Coturnix japonica: one gene and its partners. The protein of the gene in region 1 binds, or shares a complex with, the protein of each later gene. Links are inferred from orthologs where the notes say so. Each region holds a gene or a part of one and is shown on either strand. Other genes may lie near its edges. The genes, in order: RAB7A, PDZD8, RUBCN and RILP.

What was found.
Region 2: the proteins of RAB7A (region 1) and PDZD8 are in contact, whole or in part, in a crystal structure (PDB 7F6J), measured with the Homo sapiens proteins. The link is inferred for Coturnix japonica from reciprocal best matches to the Homo sapiens genes RAB7A and PDZD8. Residues at the interface, in NP_004628.4 of Homo sapiens: Lys10, Leu14, Asp16, Ser17, Lys38, Ile41, Gly42, Ala43, Asp44, Phe45, Gln60, Trp62, Gly66, Glu68, Arg69, Phe70, Gln71, Ser72, Leu73, Gly74, Val75, Ala76, Phe77, Tyr78, Arg79, Thr98, Ser101, Trp102, Glu105, Phe106; in NP_776152.1 of Homo sapiens: Ile999, Lys1000, Leu1001, Val1002, Arg1003, Lys1004, Glu1005, Gly1007, Leu1008, Asp1009, Asp1010, Phe1013, Ile1014, Lys1017, Gln1044, Leu1051, Asn1054, Asn1055, Val1058, Leu1077, Leu1084, Gln1085, Thr1088, Ile1092.
Region 3: the proteins of RAB7A (region 1) and RUBCN are in contact, whole or in part, in a crystal structure (PDB 6WCW), measured with the Homo sapiens proteins. The link is inferred for Coturnix japonica from reciprocal best matches to the Homo sapiens genes RAB7A and RUBCN. Residues at the interface, in NP_004628.4 of Homo sapiens: Ile41, Gly42, Ala43, Asp44, Trp62, Gln71, Ser72, Leu73, Gly74, Val75, Ala76, Phe77, Arg79, Ser101, Asp104, Glu105, Ile108, Gln109, Ser111; in NP_055502.1 of Homo sapiens: His818, Asn821, Met822, Lys824, Thr825, Arg827, Leu883, Gln885, Ala886, Lys887, Gly888, Phe889, Ile890, Glu892, Gln895, Glu897, Ile900, Pro903, Cys915, Lys916, Arg931, Arg934, Arg938.
Region 4: the proteins of RAB7A (region 1) and RILP are in contact, whole or in part, in a crystal structure (PDB 1YHN), measured with the Homo sapiens proteins. The link is inferred for Coturnix japonica from reciprocal best matches to the Homo sapiens genes RAB7A and RILP. Residues at the interface, in NP_004628.4 of Homo sapiens: Ser3, Lys6, Leu8, Ile41, Gly42, Ala43, Asp44, Phe45, Leu46, Thr47, Thr58, Trp62, Ser72, Leu73, Val75, Leu182, Tyr183, Asn184, Glu185; in NP_113618.2 of Homo sapiens: Phe248, Glu249, Leu252, Gln253, Arg255, Asn256, Lys259, Ala260, Phe263, Leu264, Glu267, Glu268, Tyr271, Arg274, Glu275.

What each region holds. Positions count from the first base shown.
Region 1 is NC_029527.1:6,808,758-6,812,935, forward strand, and holds the start of RAB7A (ras-related protein Rab-7a), read right to left. Parts: upstream 2,843-4,178; 5' UTR 2,711-2,842; intron 1-2,710.
Region 2 is NC_029521.1:26,018,180-26,022,474, forward strand, and holds the start of PDZD8 (PDZ domain-containing protein 8), read right to left. Parts: upstream 2,815-4,295; 5' UTR 2,674-2,814; coding exon 1,799-2,673; intron 1-1,798. UniProt on the Homo sapiens protein: Molecular tethering protein that connects endoplasmic reticulum and mitochondria membranes. PDZD8-dependent endoplasmic reticulum-mitochondria membrane tethering is essential for endoplasmic reticulum-mitochondria Ca(2+) transfer.
Region 3 is NC_029524.1:13,094,681-13,098,237, forward strand, and holds part of RUBCN (run domain Beclin-1-interacting and cysteine-rich domain-containing protein), read right to left. Parts: intron 3,485-3,557; coding exon 2,948-3,484; intron 2,360-2,947; coding exon 2,315-2,359; intron 1,081-2,314; coding exon 985-1,080; intron 89-984; coding exon 1-88.
Region 4 is NC_029534.1:4,138,721-4,142,897, forward strand, and holds the start of RILP (rab-interacting lysosomal protein), read right to left. Parts: upstream 2,850-4,177; 5' UTR 2,827-2,849; coding exon 2,578-2,826; intron 2,342-2,577; coding exon 2,215-2,341; intron 2,028-2,214; coding exon 1,906-2,027; intron 1,745-1,905; coding exon 1,553-1,744; intron 1,474-1,552; coding exon 1,319-1,473; intron 1,205-1,318; coding exon 1,082-1,204; intron 1-1,081. Other genes in the region: PRPF8 (pre-mRNA-processing-splicing factor 8), read right to left, coding at 3,091-3,245, 3,590-3,792, 3,947-4,086. UniProt on the Homo sapiens protein: Rab effector playing a role in late endocytic transport to degradative compartments. Involved in the regulation of lysosomal morphology and distribution.

The DNA of each region.
Region 1 (4,178 bases):
TAAACATACCAGCACTCAGTCAGTTCAGCACCCAAGTTCATTTTCATCTACATCCCCTTCTACCAAGAGGATCTCAGTACCAGCAGGCCTAGCAATAAGAGCTTCAGAGTGGGTCAGGTCACAGCCACGGGGAAGCCCAGGAGGCAGAGAACACTGGTAAGCACCAAACTCTCACTTAACACAGTTCAATTCTGTTACTAAAGAAACTGGTATGCTACAACAGGAGGGACTGCAAGCATCTGTGAGCCCAGGCAATCATAAGCTCATTCCAAAAATGCAAATATCCCAGTGCCTTATTCCACAGCCTTCATTCTAAGGCCAGGTACCAAGCACCATCTCTGGATGAAACATTTGAAAGAACATCCTCACCCAGCACAAGCGGTTTAGTTTACAGTCAAATGTTCAGTTCCACATGAGCTAGTCTCGTTCTTGCAGAGAAGTCAGACTAAAAACTCATACATGTTAGAAACAAATCTATATATAGTTTTGCACAGATGGTTTGATCTTAATTGTCATGTTTCCTCAAGGACAAGCTTCGCCAGAGATTCGCTCTGACAGGTAATTCAAATGACCTTCCAAGTCAACAGCAGTAGCTTTAAAAAGGCATTTCAGAAATTCAATCTGCTAAACCTTTTGGCCCACAGACGTTGGTTTTGGGGTAGAAAACAAAGGAAGATATTATCACACAGCAGAGATCCAACAGCAGAGTCTGTATGCTTTCCATTTACAATTCAGGACTCACCTGCATCACAACACATCTGTGCTGCTCTGGGTAGCGGCTGATACACTGAATTTGGCAGAAAGGAAAGGATGACTGTAACACAGTCACTGCAACAGTTATTTAAGCTTTTACCTTGGCATCTTTCCATTTTAAGGTGTAAGTCTCAGTGTGCCATGCTGAACTATTAATAGAGTATTTGAGGACACTGGCCACTGCATGACACCACGGACAAAAAGGAAGTTGAATTAAATGAATTTCAGACCTTAGCAGTTATACCTCATGCTGCACATTAAGAAAGCAAGAAACTGCTAGTGGATTTTTCAGAGCCTTCCCTATTGAGAGGTCAGATCTGACAGTTTTCCTACACCAGGAATATTAGCATAACAGCACAAAAGAAAGGGCAGCATTTTGAAGTGGCAGTATTAGAGCTACTTTGGGTTCTAAGGACTCAGGCATGGTGAGCCTGTTCATTAGTTCATGGAGAGCAAGTCATGTGTTCAGTCAGCTGTTGAGAGTCACAAGGAGGGGGGGGGGGAAGAGACAAGTATACTTGTTCTTCCTGAAGAAGTACAGCAATGAAGCTCTGATTATTAAACAAGGAATATTCAAATGGCTCCACCCAACACAACCTCGAATCTATCTCCTAAGTGCAGAGTACATTCACTTCAGCAGCCCAGCCCATCTGAAAGCACAGCAAGGCTGCAGCCTCTATCATGCATCACTAGTACCACCACTGATCACACACAGAACAACCACAAGGGAGCCCTGAAATCACAGCCAAGCACTACACACAGCTGGCAGGTAACTCCCCACTTTCCCAGCACAAGCCCACACCAAAAGGCACAGCTCAGAGCTGGCCAGCCAGGTGCTGGAAGCTTTAACATTTCCAATTCACAATTATCAAACAAAGAACAGCTTGCTTACAGCTGGGAGGACTTTGTTCTATCATGTGTTCTCAGTTTACTCATAAAAAAACCCAACACATATCCCAACAGCTCTGCTTATCAGCAAGTATTTTTAGCCTGCAGGAAAACAGTGTTGAGAATTCAATCTTTTACTCAAAGAACTCAGAGCTACTGGTTAAGATGTATTCATTCTGATGCAGTTAACTCTCTTCCTCCAGATTATGGCACTTATTTTTTTAAGCTGCCTTACTACTATAAGAAATCCACTATTTACAAGGAAGAAAACACATTTCACTTTAACACAACGATTAAGTATTCCTATATTCATTAGCCTCAATATACCTGAGCCATTAATAATGCATCCATCATTTCATTTACCTTATTATACTCCGAACAAAAAGCACTTCCAACATCCATTCCCACACTCCTTCGAACTGACTCAGGCTTTGCACACGCTGAGAGCTCCTTTCGCAATAACTGCCAGCCCTCCCAGCCTCACATTTGGCAGCATTAAATGCTCCCTAAGCAGCCCGCTTGTCTCTAAAGCAGCACCCAATGCCCTCTCCATCCCACCTGAAGCACAGTCACCATCTGACCACCCAACCCTCAGCACTGGGGGCAGCCCCAGCTCCGAGCCCATAGCGCAGCACGCCACATGCCACACACACAATGCGCTCTGCTTCTCCATGGACCACCGCATGGCTCTGACAGCGAGGACACCCACACACCCGCCTTTAGAAGCTCACAGCCCAAGGAAGGCCTCGGTAGCGCCGTGCCCGAGGCTCTGGGCGGAGGAGCCGTTTGCTAAGGATCCCTCAGCTCCATTGTTCCGGGGGAAGCGCCGATCCCGGCCCCAGCTCGACACAACAGCCCAGTATTACACTGAGAGCGAGCAGCTGCCACGGCGGCACCGGGCCCAGCACAAAGGCGGCGCCCCCCATACCCAGCCGGCCCCAGCGGCCCCTCCAGCCGGAGGGAGGGGCCTGAGAGGCCACCCCCCGCCCTGTAGTAACAGCAGCTGGGCCGGAGCCGGCACCCCCCGCCCCGAACCCTATGGCAGACACCCACACAGCCCCGTACTGACCGTGGTGCGTGTGGCCGCAGCGCCCGCCCGATCCTGGCTGTGCCTCCCCCGCTCGTCTCGCTCGGCTTTATCGGGCCCAACCACCTCCCCGCTTTCACTTCCGCCTCCCCCCCCTCAACAACTTCCGGTCACGGGGTCCGCCCGGTGTCATGACGTCATCACGGCGCCGGCAGCCAACGGGAGGGGGAGGGAAGGGAAGAAGGGGGAGGGAAGGAAAGGAGGGGGAGAGTGTCACGTGATCGCTCGCTGCCCGCCGCCATCTTGTGCTGGTGGGGAGGGGGGAGCGGGGTCGTTCCAGTTGGAATGATTTGATTGTACATTTCACTTTTCTTCCTTATTACACAATACAAAAAGCAATCAAGGGCCGTGGGTAACATTTCCTCCTTCCCTCTCTATCACAGAGCGATCCTGCCGCCCATCTCTGACGTTATTTAGTTACACAGAGGATAACCTTGCATTGAGTTAATGGCTTTCTTGGCGTGTCCCACAGCTGTGTCTTGCAGCAGCCACCTCTGGTCCATTGTGGGACATTGAAGAACACAGGAATCCTGGCTCTCAGAAGCATCACTGCCTGCAGAGAGAGCCTTATGGTCTGGGTGCTTGTCATTGGGCACAGATGGCAGCTAGATATTATAGCAAACAGACATTTACCACTGCAGGAACCTCAGCATATTTCATGTGCTGAACCAGGAAGTAAGAACGTCTTCAGCTTTGATTTGTTCCCTTTGTGACATCTAATCTCTATTTGCTTGTCTGTGCCATCCAATGAGGGATAATAAAACATCATCTCTTTGGTCCTTGGACTGGAAGGGATCCTCCCTTCCTCTTGCCAGTCCATACAGTGGCACAGTGAGCAGAAACAGCATGGACACAAAAAGATTCACCGTGTGCTGATTGCAGAGAGGTCCAGGAGCCAACCTGTACATTGACTTAGCTGATGTTCCTTGTAGTTTCTAATGCACTCACCCACTTCCCATGGACATACAGCCATCCCACCTTGAACCATCTGCGATGTTAAAAGCTTAGAGGGAACCTGCTCATTCTTCTAGTACTTGCCCAGACTATTTCAGCTCACCAGAGTCCTGTGTTCCCTCTTCCTCATTGCTGCTCACAGCACTGGGACCCTTTGTTGCCTCTTAGGTCTGGAAAGATAAAGCTCCAGCTGACCATCCTGTCATCCCTGTGTGAAGCTGTCCTCTCAAGAGCTTTGCAATGTTTTTCTCTTGCCCTCTTTTGCTTTCCAGGCCAGTTTCCTCAAAAAAACTCATCGTAATGTCAGAACTTGCTAAAATAAAATTGAAAAAAAAAAGGAACTAAGCTGCAGCAAACACACAATATCTTGTTTTTGTACTCCAAGCTAAACCAGATTCACCCTGCTGCTTCTGGCATTCTGTCCACTAGAAATCTTCTGCTCTTACATGACCACATAAGCATTTCCACTGGCAAAAGCACAGCTGTAGTCTTTTGC
Region 2 (4,295 bases), on another chromosome or scaffold:
TGAGAATGCTCACTGTCACTGAGACTGGGCTCCCCCAAGCCCCTCCTTTGGGCTCTTTTCCACATCAAGCAGCTTCAGTCTCTTTCCAAAACAGCAAAAGGATGGCAGTGACCTTGCTCTTGATAACCTCACTGCTGCCCAGGACCTTCCAAACAACAATTCAGTACCCTGAAGTCTCAAAGGACCACTGCGTTACTTTAAGAAACCACCTACTGCCCCCTGAGGACTTTCTAAGTCTTGGATATTTTACATGAGAACCCTTCTAAATTAGATGGCAGAAGAACCAGCTGAAAAGCCTTTAATATTATGACACTGCTAATTACACTTCAAACAGGCATTTTCAGTTAGTCACGCCTGAGGAATCTCAGAGAAAAGGCTTATTGGAGAAGAATGCAGTCAACAAAAATCCTTCCTTAAAAAGTAACAAGAGCTACAAGAAATGAACCAGAGAGAAAGGAAACATCCTATCCTAAGAGCATTAAGATACTTGAGATAAGGGGAAGATTGTATACCTGGACAGAGGCAAGGCAGTATTTATCTTTCAAATCAGAACTCAAGGTGGAATCAAATCGATGCTGCCTGCCACTTTACTACAGAAACATCCCTGAACTTAGCATTGCACGTGCTGCAACATCTGCCTTTTCAAACATTTCAGCTTAAAAAGCAAAAACCAAACCAAACAAACATCCAAACAAGAAGTTCCCCAAAGCTTTACCGCAACAGTAGCAACACAACCCCTGTCAGCTTCTACACTTCAACAAAGTTGCTGAAGAAATAAAGCAAACCGGAAGGAGGAAGGCGCTGCTTATCATGTGATTCCAGAAATATTCCCTAGAGTGAGGGCTTATTCCTGTCTCACATTAAGCAACAAAACCCTTGTCTCTCTCTGGACAAGCATCATCCACAGCTCTGGCCAAGGTGGTTGACCAGCAGCAGAAGGCCACCCCCAGGCCATGTGCTGTCCCACAGAGCCAGCGTTCTGCCTTTCCCAAAGGTGATCATAATCTGGTTGTTGGACACCTGACAGAACCTGGCACATAATATCTCCAGCACTTAGTTCTGCATGTTTTTGGGGTTTGTTGCAGTCTCTGTGCAATGGTTTCTTCCACCTGTTGCAAATCCATGCCTAACTTCACAGAAAGTGTTATCAATAAGCAGTGCACAAGCACCCCAGATGCAGAAACACTGACAGAAATCTCACTTTACAGTAGGTGTGACACTACTAAGAATCACAGAATCACAGAATCACAGAATTACCCGGGTTGGAAGGGACCTCAAGGATCATGTAGTTCCAACCCCCCTGCCTAGCAGGGCCACCAAACATACACCTTTACTAGATCAGGTTGCCCAGGGCCCCGTCCAACCTGGCCTTGAACACCTCCAAGGACGGGGCATCCACAACCTCACTGGGCAGCCTGTTCCAGGACCTAACCACCCTTCTAGTAAAGAACTTTCCCCTAACATCCAACCTAAATCTTCCCTCCTTCAACTTAAAACCATTTCCCCGTGTCCTGCTATTATCAGCCCTTTCCAAGAGTTTACTCCCCTCCTGGCAGTAAGTTCCCTTCAGGTACTGAAAGGCTGCAATGAGGTCACCCCGCAACCTTCTCTTCTCCAGGCTGAACAAACCCAACTCCCTCAGCCTGTCCTCATAGGGGAGGTGCTCCAGCCCCCTGATCATCTTTGTGGCCCTCCTCTGGACTCCTCTGGACCCTTTCCAAAATCTCCATAAAGAACATAACATCAACTCCAACACTCTCCTCCCCAAGTAACGTTGTGGGCACAGGCCATCTCTTACCTGATTTTGTAATTGGGCAGGGTGTGTTTGCGCTTGATAACCTTCTTGAATTGATTGACAATGATGGAAGTGAGCTGAGGCATGGGCCTCCCTTCAAACTGCGACTTGACTTCGAAGACAACAACGGGGTCATCCATGAAGGAGAAGTACCAGTGCGTGAAGGGCAGGCGCGTGAAGACCAGCTTCAATTTGCCCATCACCTGGGACAGCTTGACAAAGAGGTAGGCTGACTTGCCAAAGACCAGGTCTGCATCGATGGCCAGGTGGAAACCGCCATTGTATTCCAGGTCCACCTCGAAGCTCAGCTCATCGGGGCAGCCCTCCTCACTGAACACCACGGGCCGGATGAGCCGGACAGCCTTAAAGACGGGCAGGACGTTGCCCAGATACACCTCCCGGAGGCTCAACCCTTCCAACACCTTCCCCGTCATCTTGGTCTGCAGCAGCTCCTCGAACTCCACTTTGATCTTTTTGATCACCCAGTTCCTCACCAGGGCCGTATCCCGGAGCTCCCTGAAGAGGAAGAGGAAGATGGCGTTGAGGAAATGGCACGTCTCCTCGCTGGATGAAGGCTCCGGGCCGGGCTCCGGCTGCTGGGTCTGCTTGGTGCCGGGCTCCGGGCCCGCTGAGGGGGCAGGGGCCGAGGCCAAGGCCGGGGCCGGCTCCGGTGCGGCCTGGCTGCCCGCGGGCTCGGTGCCATGCAGATAGTCCTTCAGACTGCGGCCAACCGCGACACGAGCATAGACGAGGCCGTCGTCAGCTCCGGTCCCACCGGGAGGCTCCGGGGTTTTCCTATAAAGGAGCAGCAGCTGTAATAGCAGCGTGAGGAAACAGCCGGCCAGAGCCGAGAGCAAGATGGTGTACAGCGGCAGCATCCTCGCCCCCAGCTCGCCTCCCTCCCCTCACGGCCTCGCGTTTAACGGCCCGAGGTTACCGGCTGCCGGCCGCCGCCTCATCCGGGTCCACCCCGCGGCGGCCCGGCCCGGCGGCGGCGGCGGCGGCGGCAGGGCGGAGGGGGCGGGGCCAGCTCGGCCTCCGAGCAACGCTATTGGTGGAGAGAGGGAGGCCCCGTAGGTATGGCGTCACTGTGCGGCGTGAGCATGCGCGGGGGTGGGAGCGGAGGGGATGGGGTTGGGGTACACGGGTTGTTATGGGGTTGTTATGGGGCTGTCATTAAGGGGTGGTTGGTTGGTGGGTTGTGGGTGAAACCCCTCTGGAGATCCTGAAATCCCCTCGGGATACACGGAGCTGCCGGGATTCCTTCAAAGCCCCTTCGCTGCTTCCTGTTTCTGATTGAAGTTTGGGGCTAAACCTCGAAGTACAGCTTGTTCTCAAGTTCTCCCATCGGTGATGGGGTATAAACCTGTCCCTGTGCTCTTCAGATCACATATTTTTGCCTCCCTCCATCCAGAGCTACTTAAAAGTGCAGGCAGAAGGAGGAGTAAATGTGAAACTGAAGCTCTGGGAAGATAAAACTGCCCTCCCCCCCCCCCCCCCCCCTTTCATAATGTCTATGGGATTGAAAAGCTCTTAATGATGCAGAGCTGTGGTTTGAAACTAGAGATTTTCGGCGTATGAATTTTTTATAAGGTCTTGTGACTGGAAGTTGAAATGGCTGGGTGTTTAACAGAGCAATTTCTATAGAAATACCAGCAAGGTCATCAGTAGAGAATTTGATCTGCTCTGTTATAAGCCTTTACCATGGCTAATATGGGCATATGCAGTAAGAAAGTGTTTGGATTTGCAACTAAATGGCTTTTCAGGAAAGGAATAATATATTCAGAGAGGCAATAACAGCTTTGGGGTCAGGAGGAACACCAGGTAAAAAAAAAAAAAAGCAGGTATTTCATTTGAGCTTTTTCTTCTGTTAAACAAGCAAAGAAGAAAAACTGGCACATTTTACACACCTGATGGCAGCTTAAGAGTCTGAAGCACTGAGCTCAGTGATCACTTTTATCCTTTCCCAGGAGTGTTTTTATCAAGAGCTGTGTGATCTTGGAGACACGTTGTGAAGCAAGAATTGGGTGGGTTTCAGCATTTTCAACAATATCAGAATTAGCAGCGGAGATTATGAACACGAGTGCAAAAAGGACGTGCAAAAATGTTGTGTAACATTACGTCAGATTGAAACTATTCTAGAGAGAAAACAACCTTATGTTGTATAAAAGGGAGGAAGGGTTTGTCTTCTTACCATCTGGAAAGGGCCTCGAGGCATGCATGGCTTTGGTTTCAGATTAGAAATTACTGTTTGCATTTTTTAGAGGTCTGGATAAATAGAAAGGTGTGTGCAGTCATTTGGTTTCCACTCTGGTTACACAGAGCTTTGTACAGCTGTATGGAATATACTCACCTGCTTGTTCTTTGTACAGCTGTGAATTATTAAATAGGATGCTGCACATGCATAAGTTAGACCTGGTGTGCATGGTTGTTTTTGTTTTTAACATGAGAATTATTTGTTAAAGGGAATATTTCACCTATATGCAAAGCAAGAAAAATA
Region 3 (3,557 bases), on another chromosome or scaffold:
TCCTGCTCAGAGAGGTAACTGATGAGGGACTGTCCTTCTGAGGGTCTTCTGAACATCCCTTCCCCCGAGCTCAGGTACTGGCCAGAGTCTAGAAAAGCAAGACAGGAACATTATGAAGGAAGGACCAGGAAATTCACTGCTCCAAGACCATGTTCTGTGTCAACACACTGGCTAGTTCACACAGCCAACAGCTGCCTATCCCACTCTACAGACAGAACTGGATCCAGTTTCATCCACTCTAATGGAGAACAGCAACCAACACCATGCCATTATGATGACAGCAGGCATCCTGAAATCATCCAGCCCTCCTGAACATCCCACCCTAAGCAGGAAGGAGCAGGAGATCACTTGACTGTTCCAGCTGCTACCAGATGCTCTCCTGCTTCTCTATGGCAGCAGTAATTCTGGAACAATGACTAGGGCCAGCTCTACCCTGGAGCACAAGGAGACCCTGACCTCAGGCAGCCCTAGGGCATCACCACTGCACATCACTAATAATCATCATCCCCACACATCCTGGGCAGAGCTGCTAAGACAGCAACCACAAAAGTACTCCTGGCAGGCCCTCATAGCCTTCAGGTAGCCAATGTTTGTTATTCAGGATAAAAAAAAGAGAAGGCATATGCCAAATAACAAAACAATATGAATAACAGACATGCTTTAGCATACTGTAGGTAGCACAGTGGATACACACCCATGCCAAAAGGAAAAACTTTTAATGAGTTGTTCAGCGTTGATGTTGCTGGACCCACAGAGGCTCCTGCAGAGCCCACATCTAAGCACTGCAGTGCGTCCTCATTCACCTAGAAGGCCAGACAGACCTTCAGGGTGCTATCCCCAAGCTAACAAGCCTTTCCAGTTCCCAACCAAGTCACTACAAGCCAGTTCTTGTATGCCTGCATCCCACAAGCAGGTGCTAGAAGCTGAGGCCGCTACAGTTCATGCCCAGGAGCAAGCATCCCCACTGATGCTCACTGTACTCACCATACTCCATGTAGAGGGAGCTGGGTGTGCTCAGTTCACTGCTTTGGGTGGAACCAGAGACCATTCCTCTACTTCCAACTGTGTCAGCATGGGACTCTGCAAGGGAAGACAACACCAGGCACATGTCAGCAAACCAGAAGTACCCAGCCCAGAGCATGGTGTGAAATGGAAGAAGCTTATCATCACGTGGGTGGGCACAAATGGATGGGAATCAACAAGGGAAATCCTCCACTTGGATCACCTGCTCTGTACCATGCTTGAAGTCAAGCCCAAGAGGGAAGACAACCAGAGGGACATTTCAGGTGGCAGGGGATGAAAGGGAAAGAGGAGAAGGCCATGACAACCACAGATCAGTCAAGTCCTGAGCATTCCTCTCTTTATGCCCCGCAAACCTGGGTAATGCAATAGTTCCTGCAAGCACCTCTAACAGCTCCATCTTCTTCCTGGAGCAGCTCCAAGGAAGAGTCACCCCACAGGGTTGGAACATGAGACAAGGGGACATCTGAGCAGCCAAAGGATCTGTGGGGCTTGAAGCCTGGACAAGGGTGGAAGGAGGTATCTGAAGGACACACTCTTGCTCAGCTGGGAAAACCCAGAGCCAGGATCACAGTGCTCAAGGTCACCTCCCCATGCGTGTGCTCCAGGGCTGCGTACTGCCAGGCAGAGCTGGTGGGGACCGCCAGGAGCCGGCCTCATCAGGGACAAACAACCACCAGTGTTGTGCAGACAGCAAGGCCCCAGAGAGCAGCTGACTTGTGTGGGAAGGCCCAAAAACACCCTGGAGCTGGAAAGCAGCACCCTGCAGCCTTTGCTGGAGCTGGAGACAAAGCAAGTCATGGGGATGGGCACATCTGTCCATGCTCCTGCCAACTCAAGGAGGAGCCTTCCCAGCCATGGACTGCTCAGCACCCCGTGCCATCAGCATCAAACTAGGCCCTACTGCAGATCTGCCCCATGAAAAATATCACATTGAAGCCCATGCTTTCATGGCAACCAGCCCTTGGCCAGCAGGGGCAACCTCTTCTGGTTCCCAGAGTAATAGGAGTGGAGGAGAGGGCAGGGGAAGAAGCTCAGGGACTTGCTGGTCAGCACTTTGTAATGCCATGCAGGAGAGCTCAGTGCCAGCCTTGGGTCTGGCCCACTGCTGCCAAAACCAAGCTGGGATCTTCAGTCAGGCCACATGCATAAACCTGAGGCACCTTTCAAAGCACCTGAGACTCAGGAAAAAAATGTTTTTGATTGTTTTCTGAATGGATACTAATGGTTTGATGGAAATTCTGAACTTAATGCAGTGATCACTAATGAAAGGCGGTTTTGCTGGCTCCCAAACCTGCCACTGGATCTTCTATTATAATGGTGATATCCCTGAGGCCTCCTGGACAGACAGAGGAGGAAGAGGGCAGCGTTAAGGGAGAGAAAACAGAGACAGACTGGTTACTGTGCAGCAAGAACTTTTGTTTCTCCCATCAAGGCAGCACCAGTGAGACTGAATCCCACAAAACAGTTGCCCCTTCACTCCTGAAGCTTCCCACAATGCATTCACATACTCAGGAGCACAGGAGAGCCCAGCAGGTTACCAGTACCATGACAAGAAGCTTCCAAGTCTGCCATGGCTTTATGTCCCAAGTGGACAGGACCAGAGGAAAAGCAGGACAGCTAATTCTGCAGCATCCCTGCTGCTTGCTAAGCCTCCAGTGAAGGATACAACAGAGCTGCTAGTACAAAAACCAGACTGGCCCAGGGCATTCTGATATCAGCCCCTCATTCCAGCGTGGAGCAGGAAAATGGAGGGTAACAATCAAACCTCCAAAATGCTTTCTTACTGCTCTCCTTGTTCATCTGACCCACGGAGTTGAAGGGACAGCCAACATCCCAATACTGCTGACTCCCACCTGGCCATGGTCCCACCGTTGTGCCCGCACCCCACAACCTCCCTATGCACTGAGCAAAGTAACCCCATTACCATGCAATTTCCCCGAAGCCACATTGGTGTCCGAGTGTGAGCGCACATGGCTCTTCTTGAGGATGCCCTGTGGCACTGATGACTGTCCCTCTGAGAAGCTGGATCGGCGCAACAGGCCCAGGCCCCTGCTGCCACATCCGTTCATCCCCTGGTCCCCTGAGTCCAGCTTCTGGGAGCTGCTGGTGGAGAACATGTTGGAGCTGCTGCTTTTACTGCTGCTGGTGCTGGCACTGCTGCAGGCCCGGCCACGGCGCCCCAAGTTCCCTATGGCCAGATACTCCGGTCCATCGTTAGCATCGCTTTGTGGATCATCCTGACTCCCTGTCCAAGTGTCCTCACTCTGGCTGGTGGTGCTGGAACTCATCTCGTTGGCTGGAGAGAAGGGGTCTTTGGGTGAGGGAATGTGTGAAGGAGGGACAGCACTGGGCTGCTCCAGAGGGGACCTGCCCTCACTAAAGGAGGAGGATCGGGAAGCCAGGCAGTGTTCCTGGGGTTGGCTGGAGCTGGAGCTGATGGAGGAGCTTGCTGATCTCCTGTCTGGACAGAGAGAAGAAAAGGATGTCACACATCCTCTATGTGACCACCCAAGTCAGCAAGGAGCCCAGCCTGA
Region 4 (4,177 bases), on another chromosome or scaffold:
CCCAGCCAGCTGCAGCAGCAGAAGCCACAGCCCACGCTGCAGTCTGCAGGCACCCAGCCCTGGCAACTGTGTCTGCTGCCATTGCCCTGTGGGGCTGCAAAGGGACATCCCCAGCTCTGCAGAGACGCCAGGGCTTGAGTTCAGCCTCAGGGGTGCCATCAGCAGCACAAGCTGCAGCCTGGGGTGATGTTGGGGACAGCCAAACCTGCAGAACAGCAGGATGGCACCCAAATGGGCAGCAGCCACTTGGGGCAGGCAGAAGGGGAGCAGTGTCTCAGACTTCTGGATGAACAAGGACACTAAGGAAACAAGGACTGCACAAGGAAAAAACAAGCTGTGCTGACTGGGGGAAACCCCTACTCTCCTGAAAATCTTGTTCTGCCTCTCCCACAGCTCTCATGAAGGGTTTGGGTAGGTGGGGAGGATCCATCCCTACCCCAACCAGCCTGGACTGGTTAAGTCCCAGCCAGGAATATGGCTGAGCAAACCTGCCCTGCTGGCTCCAAGCAGCACCGACAGCAGAGCCAGGACCACTATGGGCTGGAATGTGGCATCAGCTCCAGCCACAGATTCACTCCAGGCTGCACAGACCACCCTCCTGCACCCCAATGCAAACAGCAGGAGGTTGGAACAGCACAAAAGAGCTCAACCCTCTTGAGACCTTTATTAAAGCCTCTGCAAGGCAGTGAGATACAGCTCTGCTTCCCCTCCTGCTGCTGAGCAGATGTGCAACCAACTCTGCCCAAAGACACCTTGCAGGGAACATCCCCAGTGCCAAATCTACAGCTCATGGACTACGTGCCCCACCACCTCACCTCCCCACTGTCATATTTATACAAGGAAGAACAGCACACATGGAGCAGGCGTGTGACATGTGACAGCCATGTGGAAGCATCAGCAAACAGCCCAGCCCCACAGCACTGTGCCAGGGCACCCAGCACAGGCATTGAACCTTTGCTCTCTGGCAGGAGGCAGGGACAAGGCCAGAGCCCAGGGCTGATCCCTCACAGGTGCCATAAGTGCATGGAAGCACCAAGGGCAGTGTGCAGGAGGCTCCACTGCTGCCTGCAGCTCCACTCACCTACTTGCTGACTCCTCTGCTGTCCCCAGCATCTTGGCTCTGATTTTTCTTCTCTGCTTTTTGATTGTTGACTTCATGGCATCCAGGAAGAAGCTGGGGATTCTCTCTTCATTCAGCAGCTCCCTGGAACAGACAGCACACGGGTTAGCTGAGAGCTTTGCAAGTAAATGCTGCCAAGGGTTGGTAGACCATGGGGTGTTAGAGGGATGGGAGGGAGGTGGCTCTTGGAGGGCTCACCGCTGGTAATAGCCCAGCTCCTCCTGCACCAGGAACAGGTTGGTCTTCAGCTCGTTCCGCTCCTGCAGGATCTGCTGCAGCTCTTCCATGGAGAAGCAGCACTGAGCTGGGCTCCTGTCTGGTGGTTCCTCTGCAGACAGAGGTGCTGCTCCTTCCTGGGGATGGGAGCATGAAGGATGAGGTGAGTGCAGCCCCCAGAGCCATCCCCCGGCAGCCCCAGGTCTCCCATCTCACCTGGCCGGGCTGTGGCAGCGGTGCCTCGGGGACAGCCCTGCTCCTCCTGCTCATTTCCTTCTGTGTTTGCAGCACAGCAGCCTCCAGGTCTGACTTCTTCTCCAGTGCGCTCTTGAGCTGCGCCTGCACCACGGCCACTTTGTGCCGCAGCTCCTCGTTCATGGACATGAAGCGGTGCAGCTGCTCCTGCAGCTGGAAAGGACACGACAACCGGGAGTGAGGCACAGCAGCATCGCTTGGCCACCACCCAGGACATCAGCACCGTGTGGGAACAGCATCAGCCCCAGCGGGATCACGAGTAGCCACATCAGCCCCAGGGGAGGTGACATGAAAGCGAGTCCCCAGGCACTCACTGCCTCCGTGTCTCGGCTCTTGCAGACGATCTCGTGTGCTTGGGCACGAAGCTCATCCCTCTGCTTGTCCACCACCTCCTTCAGCCGCAGCATCACCTCTCGTTCCTTCCTCACTGTGCTGTCTGTGCCCAGCGTGGGGGAACGGGTGTGAGCGGCACCAGGGACCCAAAGACATCCTTGGGATGCTCATCCCACCACCCTCCTGTCACCTCAACTCATGCCAAAGATATTCAGCCCCAAACCCTATGGGAGTCCCCGTGGCTTGCAGAAGGCAGCACTGCCATGGGGACAGGAGCTCACCAGACCCACCTTCCTGGTGCTGGCTGCTCTTCGCCAGCTGCCCCAGGAGCTGCTGGTTCTGCTCCTCCAGCTGGGTCAGGCGGCCACGCAGGGCTCGCTCCCGGCGCTCTGCCTCCCACAGCCGCTGCTCCAGGTCCTGGGGGACAGGGAGAGCTGGGTCAGGCTTAAGGGTTGGCAACAGCTCGGTCTGAGCCACCCCAAGGAATAAGGGACACTCAGCTCAAAGCCAACCCCAGGGGACATCCCCACGATGATAAAGGAGGAAGGGCCATGCAGACACTTCGGGGTCAGCACCTCCCCTAAGGGATAAAGCTGAGCACCACCGGGGACAGCTCCCGGTCCCCCCAATGCTCCCACCATTGCCCCGCTCACCTCCGCATCCCGCTGCTCGGTCAGCGGTTCCTCACTCTCGGTTCCCACCGGTGCCACCAACGCTTCCAGCAGCTCCAACAACCGAACGACCGGCGGCACCAACCCGGCCACGGCGTCGGGTCCAAAGCGGCCCGAGAGACGTCGCAGCTCAGCGCCCAACGCCTCAGCCATGCAGTAAATGTGCGGCGGGGCCAGGCGGCCCGGAGGGGTTCGCCACAGCGGTTCCGTGCCCCGTGTTGGCTCCGCCATCGGCCCCGCCGCCACCGGACGTGGCTCCGTGAACGCTCCGCCCCATCCAGCCCCGTCCGGAGACAGTCACCGCCCCCACCAACCTCCTCCATAGGAGACGAAGCGTTCGGCTTCGTAAAAAATTTATTAAGCCACTCTACGACGGTACAAACACCGGGACAGCAACGCTGGGATGGACAAGGGGGGGACGACGGAGCCGTGGACACGAAAAGCAGGGAGAGGATGTTGAATATCAACAGTACTAAGAGTGCCGGGGGGGCAGGATCAGGCGTAGAGGTCCTCCCTGTCGGCGGAGTAAACCTCCCCCTCCTGCAGCAGGGCGAAGTTGAGGAAGTGAGAAGGGCGATGGACCTCGTGGTAAAACTCCTTGGGGTTGGCGAGCTGCAGCTCGTATTTCATGTTGGGGTCGTGGCGAACACCTGGAAGAGAGTTCACAATGTGAGGCAGCTCTCCATGATCAGCTCTTCTTCCTGACATGAATTACTCAGTGACAATATACCACACGCTACCAGAAGATGGTCTCAGGTCTGATTTTAACCCTGTATGTTTGCTCTCTTGCTGCTTCAAATCGTTAAGAACCAACATCGCAGAACAGCCACCAAGGAAAGGTCCATCTACAATGCTAATATAACCCTGCCGGCTGCTCAGAGAAAGTCAAGCTTCAGGACATGTAAGGAATGCTCCCCTTAAAAAGCCATTTCCTTCTCCTCAAGCTATTCCTGCTGCCTCCCTTCCTACCCCTCTCCTGGGGCTGTCAGCTCACCCATGAAGTTGTAGTTCCAGGATCCCTGTGCTGGAACCATGAAGAAGCCAAGGAAGCGATCTGAGAGCAGCATCTGCACCCTCTCATAGTGGGATGGCAGGTAGCCCTTGGGGTTGTTCCCTTTGTCTGTGTTCTGCCTGCCCCACTCGTAACCACTTGGGGTCAGTTTGTAGGCTGTCAGCGTGCAGGAACCTGGGGTAAAACTGAAGGAGAGCAGAGAGATGGTTTGGGTCAGAATCATTTGAGACAGAGAACAAGAAATAACCAAACAGTTCCTTTCTGCAAGATTTATAGATTGAGACCTTCATGTGTATCCAAAGAAGGGGACGCAGCACAGAAGCCCCTGCTGCCTCTCACCTGCAGGTGATGATGATGGTTTTCTCCCCATCCCAGGAGGGATTGTCAGCCATGACTTTGGCGTGGGTGGTGACATCCTGTGGTGACAGCTGGGGGGACTCGTTTGGTTGGGTATGAATCCATCCCAGAGGTTCCATTTCCTACAGAATGGAAAATGAAAAGCATTTACTCAACGAGAAGATACTAAAAGCCATGAGAAATGTATTTAAAAGAGCGCTTCAAGCACAGTAC